Neodiprion lecontei: one gene and its partner. The protein of the gene in region 1 binds, or shares a complex with, the protein of each later gene. Links are inferred from orthologs where the notes say so. Each region holds a gene or a part of one and is shown on either strand. Other genes may lie near its edges. The genes, in order: sterol regulatory element-binding protein cleavage-activating protein and protein TRC8 homolog.

Region 1 (5,129 bases):
TAGATATCGGTCCTAATCGTAAGTGAAGTAATGCAAACTTGACTTTAGTCAGTCGCAACTGATTGCAAAAATTCTCGCAAAATCAAGGCCGCAATTTACTGTCCGCGTACGCAATTCTATTGATATGATTCACTCTGGACTACACGAGGATGATAATATATCTGTTAATGTGTAAAATGATAAAGTCCCCAGATTATCAGGTTGTGCAGATATATTGGGTACTCAAGAGATTCGAAATATTCGTATAAACATTGTTTTCAGTTCAGGGATAGGTCAATACTTGAAATAATCGAAAGTGTCGTGCATAAATCATAAGTAGTTATGTACGAATTGATTATTCTTATGCGAAAAAAGTCTTGAGAAATTGAAATATTTCCACCTCTACTACATTCGAATCACTGTGAAGCAAAAATTGTACCAGGTGTTCATCATTTTTTTCCAGGACAAATGTTTCAAATTTTTTTTTTGTTAAACTTCAAACACACTTCGATACTATAATTCGTAGCATACAGCAACAAACCATTCGCTTGAATAAATTCGTTTTAGACTACAAATTTCAATCGACCGAAAGTTCTTATAAAATGAATGTGTTTCGCATATAATCGTGAACACCTGGCCACAATAAAATATGAGTACGGTACCAATGTAAGGAATAAAAAGATAGAGGAGATAGATGACCATGTTTTGCTTTCTTTGTTTGTTTTTTACGCATAGATCTATTTCGCAAGGATTTCCATCTGCACTTATAAGTGCGTGCTTAACGGAAAGTTATCTTGAAACCCGCACAAAACGAGGCAAGAAGACGTCGAAATAGCATATTTAACCCTTTAATTCACGTTGGGACGCTCAGCGTCCTATCTTTTTTTGCAACTTTTTATTTACTAAACTACTTTTTGGTAACAACTATCGAGTTTTTTGTTCCGCATGGTCCCTGAAATATTTCCAAGTACAAAAAAAAATGTATAATTTATTTATTTACTTATTGCAAAGATAGCACATGTAAACAAATGGTCGAAATTCGTACTTTTCCACGAAAAAAAAACAACATTTTCTACTAATCTACCATGCAAATGAATGCAAATTTTGTACACAGACTTAATACACACTAGAAAGTTCTACAGAAATTTTTCAAAATGTTTCTTCTTGTTTCTTCTTGTCTGTCCGCCATATTGGATCCGCTATTTTGCATAGTCGAATTTTGGATTCAGATTCATAATCGACGACCCAAAAGCCCGTGTATGTAAAATTTAAAGCGAATCGCATCTAAAAAAACAAAAAGAATATACGCATGAAAGGATTAAAATACAGCAGAAGTCTAACTGTTTCTCGACTTCTCTCTGAACATCGATCAGTCATAAGTATATACCACTGGAAAAAATCAGTGTATGCACAGTAAAAAAAATTGTCACTGGGAGTCAGTGAATTTTCACTGATTCAAATATACAGTTCCATTTATTCTGAGAACCTTTAATAGTTAGGCACTATAGAACAAACTTGTATCGGCTCCATAATTTCAGTTCTACCAATATAAATATATGTAATTAATTATTTCCCTCATCTTTCTTGCGAAGAGGATAGTCTATTGCCTTTCAAACAAAATCTAACAGCAGAAGTTATACCATTCGGATTTTATAAATCTAAGCGAGCAGTCTGACCTAGCCCCTGATTGATCGCCACAATCGTACACGCCCCTGACGTACTTGGCATGATTTTTTTTCTCGATCAAATAAATCATTCCGCGGTGAATTCTTTCCTCTGTGCGTAATACCCACATAACGATGCACCGAGTACGAGCGCTTACATTGCATATCAATATAACGATCTACGAATGCATCGATGTATGAAAATTTTGCCTTGCCACCGTGCAGGCCGTTGTACGTACGTATGTAGTGTAGATTTGACCGCTGCAGGTCGCGTATCGATAACTATACAACGCGTAATTAAAATAACGTACGTCATAAGCAACGCACACACGCATTTTCTCGTAAATAGGCGGGATCTCGCGTGAAAGGCGAGAGGCGGTAACATGCGTGTGTCAATAAATCGTCGCAGTTGGTTTCGGAGCAACGGCAACTAATTCAGCAGCAAAACCGAAGCTCCGAAGGCATATTTATGCGTCGCTTCGCGCCCGCTAGCTACTCGCGTTACTTAATTTTATCATTCGGGCGTTAACGTGCAGTTGCGTTTCATGCCTCTACCGATTCTGAGGGCACCGATTCAAGGTTCTACTTTCGTATGCGTGCGTTGCGTGCGCGTGTATTCACGCCGTAACGTGCGTGCGACGAGGAGTGATTCGATTGAATATATTTGTCTCTGTCACTGGGAGACAAAATTATCCTCCGATGGTTTTCATTTCGATATTTCCGCACCTTACACGCGGTGAATATAGTTATTGACGGTGTTTGTGCGCGGACGCTGCTACTCGTCACAACGAAATCGGACTTCTCGTGCCTGATAAATGGTTTAAAAATAAATGACTGTCGGTGACTTATAGGTATGATACAGGTGCATACCCGACGTACAGTATGTATTCCGCTACGCATGTATGAGTCCCTATTACGGTATTTCGCCTCGGTGCACGAGTGAAGTTTCACATTGAATATTGGCTTCTTTCCTGTGCGGTGCACCTTGAAACTCCAAGTTTTTAAACTAACTATTCACGCGCGGTGACACACGCAGTAACATACGTAATTGGGCATCTTGTCACGAGCATCGCGTCGTCGTAGCTCGGCGTTTCGCCGAATTAAATATGACGTCTTCGATTTTTAGACATAGTGGAAAATTCATACGGATGAAGATTGAACGCGTTAGCTTTATCAAATGATTTATTAGTGTGCGTTTTGGTCGAGCAGACTTGCCGTCGACGGTTTACTGCCTACCGCACGGCAAGCATACCTGGTAACATAACACAACATAACCACACTGCGAACATAACCTCAAAGCGGACAACGACGGATATCTCTCTGTCCCACTGGCGGAGAAAAGTTTGGAGAGAATACGTGTCGCGTCGACGTTTTGTCGTCGTGGGGTATTTTTAACGCCTGTAAGTACATTTCATCCCTCCTCCCTTCACCCGGATTTTCGCTGCGTTTAACATCGATAGCCGCAAAGATAAATCCGCGCTCCCAGCGATTCGGATTCTTTCCACATGTATATACATATAAACGTTATTTCGTTTTTAATACCCGAGGCGAAACGTAATTGCGTCATATTTAGGTTTTATTCAGAACCGGAATTCCAACGGATTCCAACCGAGCCCAACTACTTTATCACTTCTAGATAATATTTGACTAACCGCAATGCAGCCCGTCGAGGATGTTCCACTTATTCAGCTAAAAGCTCCAAAAATATCTACGGATTTAAAGTGGTTTACTTATCTTGTGACAAATTGACCCGCTGTAGTTTTCTATTTTTGTCAATATCGATGCTACGCTTCACTCAGAGGCTTTGGAAAATGTTGATTTTCAATTAACGCTTCAATGTATACAATGCTCTTGCTAAAATCACTTTTATTCAAAAATTGAATTTTGTTCGAAACATAATATTCTTTAATTTAAACTCTTGTGTGTGTGTGTGCATTTTCAACCAGCGTGCCGGCTTCTAACCCTGTGCGTTCAACAATTTCTTCAGAATCTCGTAACCATGTGTGGTATTCTATCAAAATGCAATTAAAAACAAAATATAAAACGTCACTGAAGATTCTCCTTCTGAAATTTCTTGTATTTTGTTAATATAAGTTAAAGTATTTCCTAAGAAAGACATAACATCTTGAAGTACACTAATTCAATGAAAATTTATCTGATCATTCAAGGTGGGACGATTGAACTGCAGTCTTGCCTTGTTTATTTCTTCTATTTTTAAATGATCGCCAAGTCAAGTAACTTTTTTATTACAGATATTCAACAAGTCACTAAATCCAAGCCTATATGTTATCAGCGGAGAAGTGACGCTGGAAATTTGTCTCTGCCTAGGATATGTTGGCAACGTGTCCTTGATGTGAAATGTCCCGCAGCCTGCCGGACAGAGTGGCAGGGCTTTATTATGCCCACGGCCTATTCTGTTCATCGCATCCCGTTGCCGTAATTTCATTAGCAATATCTGTCGTTTTGCTATGCTGGTTAGTCATTATATTTATCATTCTGGTATATCTTATCGGTAACATAATGTCATTAACAGTTTGTTGAAAGATTAGTCCAAGCATTCGGGGCAAAAAAAACGTTTATCTGCTTGACCGTATCTGAATGTTTGGAAATACTGCATATCGAGAAACTGATATATAACAAATGTTTTTAGCAAATCAGTACTGCGATTGATATTTATGCAATTTTCTTGTAGCTATCCTCTAGTGAATCTTCCTATGCCAGGAAATGCTCCTCGAACAATAATAAACCAAACAGAGGTGTTTGTTAACGGTTCGGAAACCCCTGCGTTATACGTGCAACAAGTAACATTGAGGGTGGGAGTTGTCCCATGGACCGAAGACCTCAGCTTGACGGATGCATTCAGAGGACCGCTTTATGAAATATTTAATTTATTGGAAATCATTAGAAACTATCAGGACCCAGAAACGTAACGATGCAACTTTATCAATGGATTTTGTTCCTACAGAAAAGATTAGTTGCCCAACTTTCCATGCACATTTGTTATTTCAGACTAAAGACCCTTGGTCAGGTTTGCCTCCACGTCGAGGCTGTGAAACGAAGAAATGCCAAAAAACCAGATGTTCTACCGGAATACAACTGCCTTGTTTTGTCACCTGCAAATCTATGGCAGCAAAGTTTGGAGCTCTTCAATCAGGACACCAATCTTATCAACACTATTTACTCGTATCAGGTAACTAACTATCAAAAACTCAATCTTTTCCTTTCTCACGCATGTCATATCAGCGATTGAATCTAACTCTCCGGCAAGGTTGGGGGCTTAGAGGAACTTGTGAAAAATGTAAAAATCTCTATCGATATCCCAACAATACTGGTGCAACCAATAGCTTGAAATGATTGACGCTTGAAATATAATTCTCTAATGTTTGTGTAGAATCTGCAAAAGAGCAAGATCAGCCTTGCAGAAATAATGTTTGGCATGAGCCTGAAAGAGACCGGAATAAAGCGTTATCCTATTCGCGTCAGGCA
Region 2 (6,716 bases), on another chromosome or scaffold:
GCAATAATTTTGCACGTCACCTTCCGCGGTCACGTTAACAATAAGTGTATTGCACAAATGTTAATACGCAGATAAGTACAACAAAATGGTCGCATTCGAGATATTTTTTTAAATACATGTTTCCTGTACACGTCTGATATCCGTGCATAAAAATTTCACATCGATTGACTATTTTATACTTTTATATTCACGGAGTCACGAATTTTGTGAAACCTTTGATGAATTATTTTGCGATACAGAGAGTACTTTCACAGTTTGAAGATAATGCGAATTACACGTTGTTTAAATATCGTCAATTACGCGGTAGTTGGTTTCTTTTTTTTTTTTTTTTTGCTTTTGCATAATTCTGGAGAAATGAAATATTTTTATAAATATAAAAGAGGGTTTACGATTCATTGACGTTCATTTATAAAATATATTGTTTATTATACATATAAGATATTATATTTCTCGCTTAATTATATCTATCAAAATATGATATTATTATTATTATTATTTTTATTACTGAAAGGTGCGATATAGAGCATATTTATGTGTATGCGTGATGGGTATACAGGAATATAAACGTACTACTACCTATAGTTTGTATTTATGTTTAGTATACAATGGTACTTGCGCGAAATGAAACGCATATACGTTAATAATTGTTTCGGGTATGAACGAATCAGGGACTCGGATAATATGAAAATGAAACATATAAATTCACAAAACAGAAAAGAAACAAATCAAAGGTCTATACGTACCTATTGGTTATTTACAACCACCGGTTAATATTAGTCGTATTTTTGTTTTTTTGGTGTTTTTTTTTTTTTTTGTGCTTAGCATATATATACACATACGAATACCCATCAAAAATTAAACTTTACACATTATACATTATGCCTATATTTGCTGCACTTGTTGTATTTAAATGAATACACAAATACAGGTGAAACGTGTGTTTATACGGAGATTAAAACACACGTAATAATACGTATCGTATTGCGGTACGAATTTCTTTTCGATTGGTTTTAATTTTTTTTTGTCTTTAACATTTCACACTGTGTTGTTTGACTCGTTTCACATTTCTCGTTCTCTCTTCTTTTTGGTCGTTTTATCGTTACTCAATGCATTTTCTTTCCTTACCTCATCGGTCATTCTGTATTAGATACGTAAATTAATTCATCGATGACAAGTAGGTAGAACGTAACATGTAAAGTAAATTATTATTTTTTTCCAACAACATCGTGGTTTATTCCCGTTAATCGATCAAGGAATAATCATTTATACGTATATTATATGGGCTACCGACGAAGATTTGGTATGAGTAAAAAGGAAGAAAACTAATTATCGTCTTTATTTAGTGTAAAAAAGAATGAAATAAAGACGCAAATCGCGTTTTAAAGTAAAGCGAGGTAAGGATTGTTCCTACAAGAATATTTACTACAATATAAGAAAAGTGTAGAAAGAAAAAAAATGTTGAAACTTTTCTTTTTTTACAGAAAAATTCCATTTTCGGAATTTAGGAAGTACCGCGAGAGAAATTACGGATTGAGAGAGAGAGAGACACATGTAAGTAGCAATTGTATAGAAATGTAAGCTCATGTTATACATAATATAATTAAGGCGATACTATACGATCACAGAATAATTAATCCAAATTAATAATTGACGTACATGTATAGCGGCTTACATTTATAATAAAGTATTGGATAGATTTCTAAATTATTATCATTATTATTATTTTTTTTATATGAGTATATAATAATAATAATAATGATGATGATGATAATATACATAATATACATGATATAAAATATGTGGAAGTTAGTTCCTATAATTTCTATCGTCGTTATTATCTCTATTTACCTACCTTATAGTTACATAAATAATAAATTGTTTCATTTTCTTCGTTTCTTGTTTTCCTTTCTTTCGTCGCTAGTTTTCTATTTTTAACGGTATTTTTCGTATTTTTTTTCTTCTTCGATTTGGTAGGATTGTATGACATACAAGAGTTTAAAATGTATGGACATGGCGAATTATCCATCTATCTAAACCCGGAAGTATGATAAAGTGTGATACGAAACGTGTCTAATAATAGTAATAATATTAATAACAATAACAACAACAATAATAATAATAATAATAATAAACTTGCACATCGATTGTTGATTCTGAGGAACGGAACAGAGGGGAAGAAAAAAGACAAAAAATTAAATATAGTAAAAGAAACAATAAGAAAGAAGGAAGAAAAGAACAGTAGCCTTGGTCAAATTACACTTGGACTTGAAACGATACCCTCGCACAGTGTGACAATATCAAACTCCATTGTATAACATGAAATAACAATATAATTTATTTTTTATAATAATTATATCACAATATAGCTAGACGTTAAGCTTCACCTGTCTTCGTTAAGCTGTTCAACGTATCGTCTATAGTTCGGACTTCGCAATCCGTTCCTCTGCAGTCCCTGGTTCTGGTACAACTCATCGATTTCATCTTCGTTTCGCCTCTCCTGATCAGTGAGAGCAGAGACATTGTCTTTGCTGTCTTGCGGACTGTCAACTTTGTACAAAATATCATGGCACAGCGGACAGCGATCCTGAACGTACAACCACTTTCTTAGACAAACGCCGTGGAAGTAGTGATTGCACCTGGTTATTTTAGCGCTTGACATTTCCTGGTAGCAAATAGCGCAAACGTCGTCGAGCTGCATAAGCTGCTCGGTCCTCGCCTCTGGCAGCGAGTTTATCTTGTTCACGGCCGTTCTCCTCTTCATGAATACGCTCCATCCGGCCTTTGCTTCGCACCATATGTTGAAGTAGGCGTGCACACACATCATGACTGCTCTTATTAGTCCGCCCGACTCGTACACGAGGATCCATAGGCCGTTGAAGAACAGAAAGATCCCGAATGCAAATTCCACGGTGTTACCGAAGGCGCGTATGTAGTAAACGTAGTCGTCCAATTGTTCCCAGAACGTGTGACGGCACGCGTCGTAAAGGAACAGCGAGTATATCGCCAGCGATACGAGGACTTTTACTATAACCTCTATGCTAAAAGCCGAGACAGCGAGCAGCCAAGTGCTGACCGAGTATTGCGACCACAGCAATACGAGGAGATAAACCGGAAACATAATCAGAAAGGCGCAGACCAACAGTGCTCGGAAGTGCCTGTGAAGAGCGGGATTGTGCGACGCGCTCAGCGACATCAGTAGAGGATTGACTATATTGTGAACAAAGTGGAGAAGCGCTGTGAACAGGAGGCAAAAGTTTCGGCACAATCTTACCAACCGCATTTCTCTGTCCAGACTGGTCAATCCTGTTTGGAGAGCCAGGATGTAGAAAAGAATCGCCGATACCGTTCCGATGCTCTTGCTGTCCTCCTCGTCATCGTTAAGTAATATCCATTGGAAGAAGCAACCGATGTAGTGGCAGATGAACGATATCACGCTCGTCATTCCTAGAACAGCTGTAAGCGTCTCGCAGCCGTTTATCAACAGAGTCCTGACCATCACGTAATACGTGAACGTATCTTCCCCGTAGTGGTTTCCCATTATTTGTATAACTTGCTCGCCCACTCTAAGCATCCAAAAAATCCGCAGAACGCAGGGCACGTTCAGCCGACTCCATTCCGCCTCCACCAACGCCGAGAGACCGTAGCTGCTGATAAACGTTCGAGCGTGCTGGTAACCTGAGTATATGATGCGGCCCATCGCCACCGAGTTGTACCAAATTACGAACTTTGACACTGCGAGCGGAAGCAGGGTTGCGAAGACTGGAGCATGGTTCAGAACTGTAATCTGTGAAACGAAATTTCTAACTGTTAGATGGTAAAAGAAATGCCAAACCGATCATCTTCGTTTTGTTGATAAATTTTCAGGAATGGTTTCAAGGCTGATGCTAAACTTATTGGGCGAAGAAAGTGAATATAAATCGAGGTGACCATGCTAGTCCAAATGTCAACCGTTATTCGAAACACACCATATTTCAATTTCTCAATCGTAACTCACGGGTATCGGAAGAACTGCGAATATGGAAGGAGCCATGAAACTGAAGACGAGAGACTTCTGTATAATGGAAAATCTCGGAGCAAGGTGAACGTAGCAGAAGATAAGGGCGAGAGTGCACTGGAGGATGTAGTTCCGGATGACAACGACTCCCGGTCCGTCAGGATTCAGCACCTTGGGTATATCCAGACACAGCACATCGTCCAGGATACTCGTCGCTGTCTCATTTGCGGTGGCGTACCAGATGACCGCCTTCATGGTGCTGACGTTCGACCAATATGACACGAATATCACACCGACCGATATCAGGTAGAGGTAAACGACGACGAGGTGTTTCTTTTGCAGCATAATGCCGCAAAGTGCTGCCTCGCATGCTGGAATAGAGAGAAATAGAACGTTGCCGGAAAGGAGAAACAAAAAGCGACGAAGCAGCGAAGCGATCTTTCCACGAATCTCTCTATAACTATACATAAGGTAGTTGAAATCATCCAGTGATTTAACGTGATGTACAACAAAACTGAAACGGTTATTGATACTTGCATAGCTACTGTTTGCATTTCTTTTATGCCTCATTTTGATAAAAATACTTCCTTTAATTTGACCTTCTCCTTCATAAATTTTCTAAGCGAGTAAATACCTTCTAAGTGACTTGCAAAGTCAAGTGCCCCACATAATTTATTCATTGACCTGTTTCAGTTACCGCTTTTAAAAACTACAGCAGTGAGCCAAGTTTTAATCGTTGGTTGTGCATAGAACGGAAATAACTGATAGCAGGTTTGTAAAAGGGTAACCGATAATGAGGTTTTTTTACTTTGGCTCCTTACCTAAACAGCACAAGATGAATTTAAAGAGCGTGAGTAAGTACGACTGGTAGATGTGCTGACTCAAGTTTAGCTGGTGGAGCAAACCGACCTCGGGTGTAATGCCAACCAGCGAACCAACAATGGAATCAGGAACGCTGACGACTTTGAATTCATTGTTGACGTCTTCAAGGACTATGTTTTCGCCGGGCAAGCCAAGGCCGATCCTGAGCAGTTCGTCGATAATGAAAAGCGGCGGAACCCTCATAACGACATCGGCGAAATTAAGCGCCTTATTTCTAATGGTGGTCAACATATTTTCCAAATCTTTAAGGACGTCAGAAAGGTCGACTATTTTGCACTTTCTCTTTCCTTGGGTAAGGCTACTTTTTTTTTTTATTATCAACTCTCCATACTTCCAGTCTCTCCCAGATTAGCGAATTTTCTTGTCTTTTTTTTTCTTTTATTCTATCTAGTTTCACTTTCTTCCGTATGATAATAAAATTTCTACAGTTTTCCCCACGACGATACTTCGGTTTAATCGAGAATTATATTTTCCTCAAATTTTGTTAAATTAATGAACCCTGTTGTCATAATTGGCACGGTTACGCTGAGCACTTTCCCTTCGATTTATTTCACAACGATTTTGATTATTTATTAATTTGATCAGTCAAAGGTCGCCTGCTAATTTATTTATTCATGTATTTATGTACACAAAATTCCAGATTATTAATCGAGGTTACAAAACACGCTGCAGTTCTCAGCCTGCCTGCCAGCCAGCAACACCAGCTGCGCATCACCAACCAACCAGCAGGTCTTGACTTTTTAAACTACATGCTATGCAGCAACAGATGGAGCTTGCTGCCTGCGGTGAAAAACTTTCAACCGTACAATAGATGTTTTTTTATTTTCGTTATCTTATCGCGTTAGTATAAATAACGGTTATTGACGAACGAGAGAACGAAAACAAAAGGGAAACGGAGAAAGAGTTTTAGTTGATAAGTACTTTACATAATATACATCGATTTCCTTATTTATTTCTCATATGACGCATTTTTTATTTTTTTTTACACCCACCTCGCATCGCCCGTTAAAATTCTATTTACACGCCGAGTTTGCGCCAGATTTTTCGAATAGTTATTCGTATACAGTCTCGAACTGCGATATGTGCGTGTATGTTATCTTCGCGGAAGATTTCGCCGTCACGATCCGTTTACTCATTCTCATATCGCAGACAGATGAACATGTATCAACCTTTTACGGACGGGCAAAATTTCAGTTAAAATCGACTTTGTGTTAGAACGTGATATTTATGTATGATTTCAATGATTTCAATGATTTGAAGTTCCCAACCTGACTGCTGGATGATATATCGACTAGCCCCGCCGTTAAGAGGTTAAATAATTTCCACTAAATGCACGAAATATTCGTGAGGACCTGTGGGTCCGCGATCGATCACGGGATGGCGGTTTAGTGTGGCGAATCAATTTTTTTCACTCCAACTAGCCAGCCTGTCAAACCCGTCGATTTTATCTTGCAGCAGCTGTCTGTGCAGCTGATGTATACCGCGGTGTTTGTAGCATATAGAGAGTAAACACAGCCGCCATAAATAGCTGTCACTTTGCCGTACGTACTTCTTTTTGACCGACTGAAACGTCACTCGTTGCAATTTGCCGGAAGAAAATAAAACTCACATTTAGGAAAATATTTGCACCCGGAAAATTATGATTCATCTTAATGAATATTTTCACTTCAAATCACTCTGCTACTGATAAATTATTCAATGTGAGAACGGAAAATCATCCGGCAATTCGGTTATTTAGTTTTTCCGAGGTACTTATTTTTGGTTAGTGACAGTTCGGAGTCACGTTCATTCCGTCGGTAATTCAGTCACGTACTTTCGCCCTGCGTTTCATAACCGTATG

What was found.
Region 2: sterol regulatory element-binding protein cleavage-activating protein (region 1) and protein TRC8 homolog share a complex: the UniProt entries of both Homo sapiens proteins name them as parts of the SCAP-SREBP complex. The link is inferred for Neodiprion lecontei from reciprocal best matches to the Homo sapiens genes SCAP and RNF139.

Annotation. Positions count from the first base shown.
Region 1 is NC_060263.1:41,192,597-41,197,725, forward strand, and holds the start of sterol regulatory element-binding protein cleavage-activating protein, read left to right. Parts: upstream 1-1,901; 5' UTR 1,902-2,494; intron 2,495-2,662; exon of another isoform or gene 2,663-3,043; intron 3,044-3,895; 5' UTR 3,896-4,001; coding exon 4,002-4,117; intron 4,118-4,335; coding exon 4,336-4,569; intron 4,570-4,652; coding exon 4,653-4,833; intron 4,834-5,034; coding exon 5,035-5,129. UniProt on the Homo sapiens protein: Escort protein required for cholesterol as well as lipid homeostasis.
Region 2 is NC_060262.1:4,895,849-4,902,564, reverse strand, and holds protein TRC8 homolog, read right to left. Parts: upstream 5,108-6,716; coding exon 4,816-5,107; intron 4,366-4,815; coding exon 3,995-4,365; intron 3,785-3,994; coding exon 2,381-3,784; 3' UTR 759-2,380; downstream 1-758. UniProt on the Homo sapiens protein: E3-ubiquitin ligase; acts as a negative regulator of cell proliferation through mechanisms involving G2/M arrest and cell death.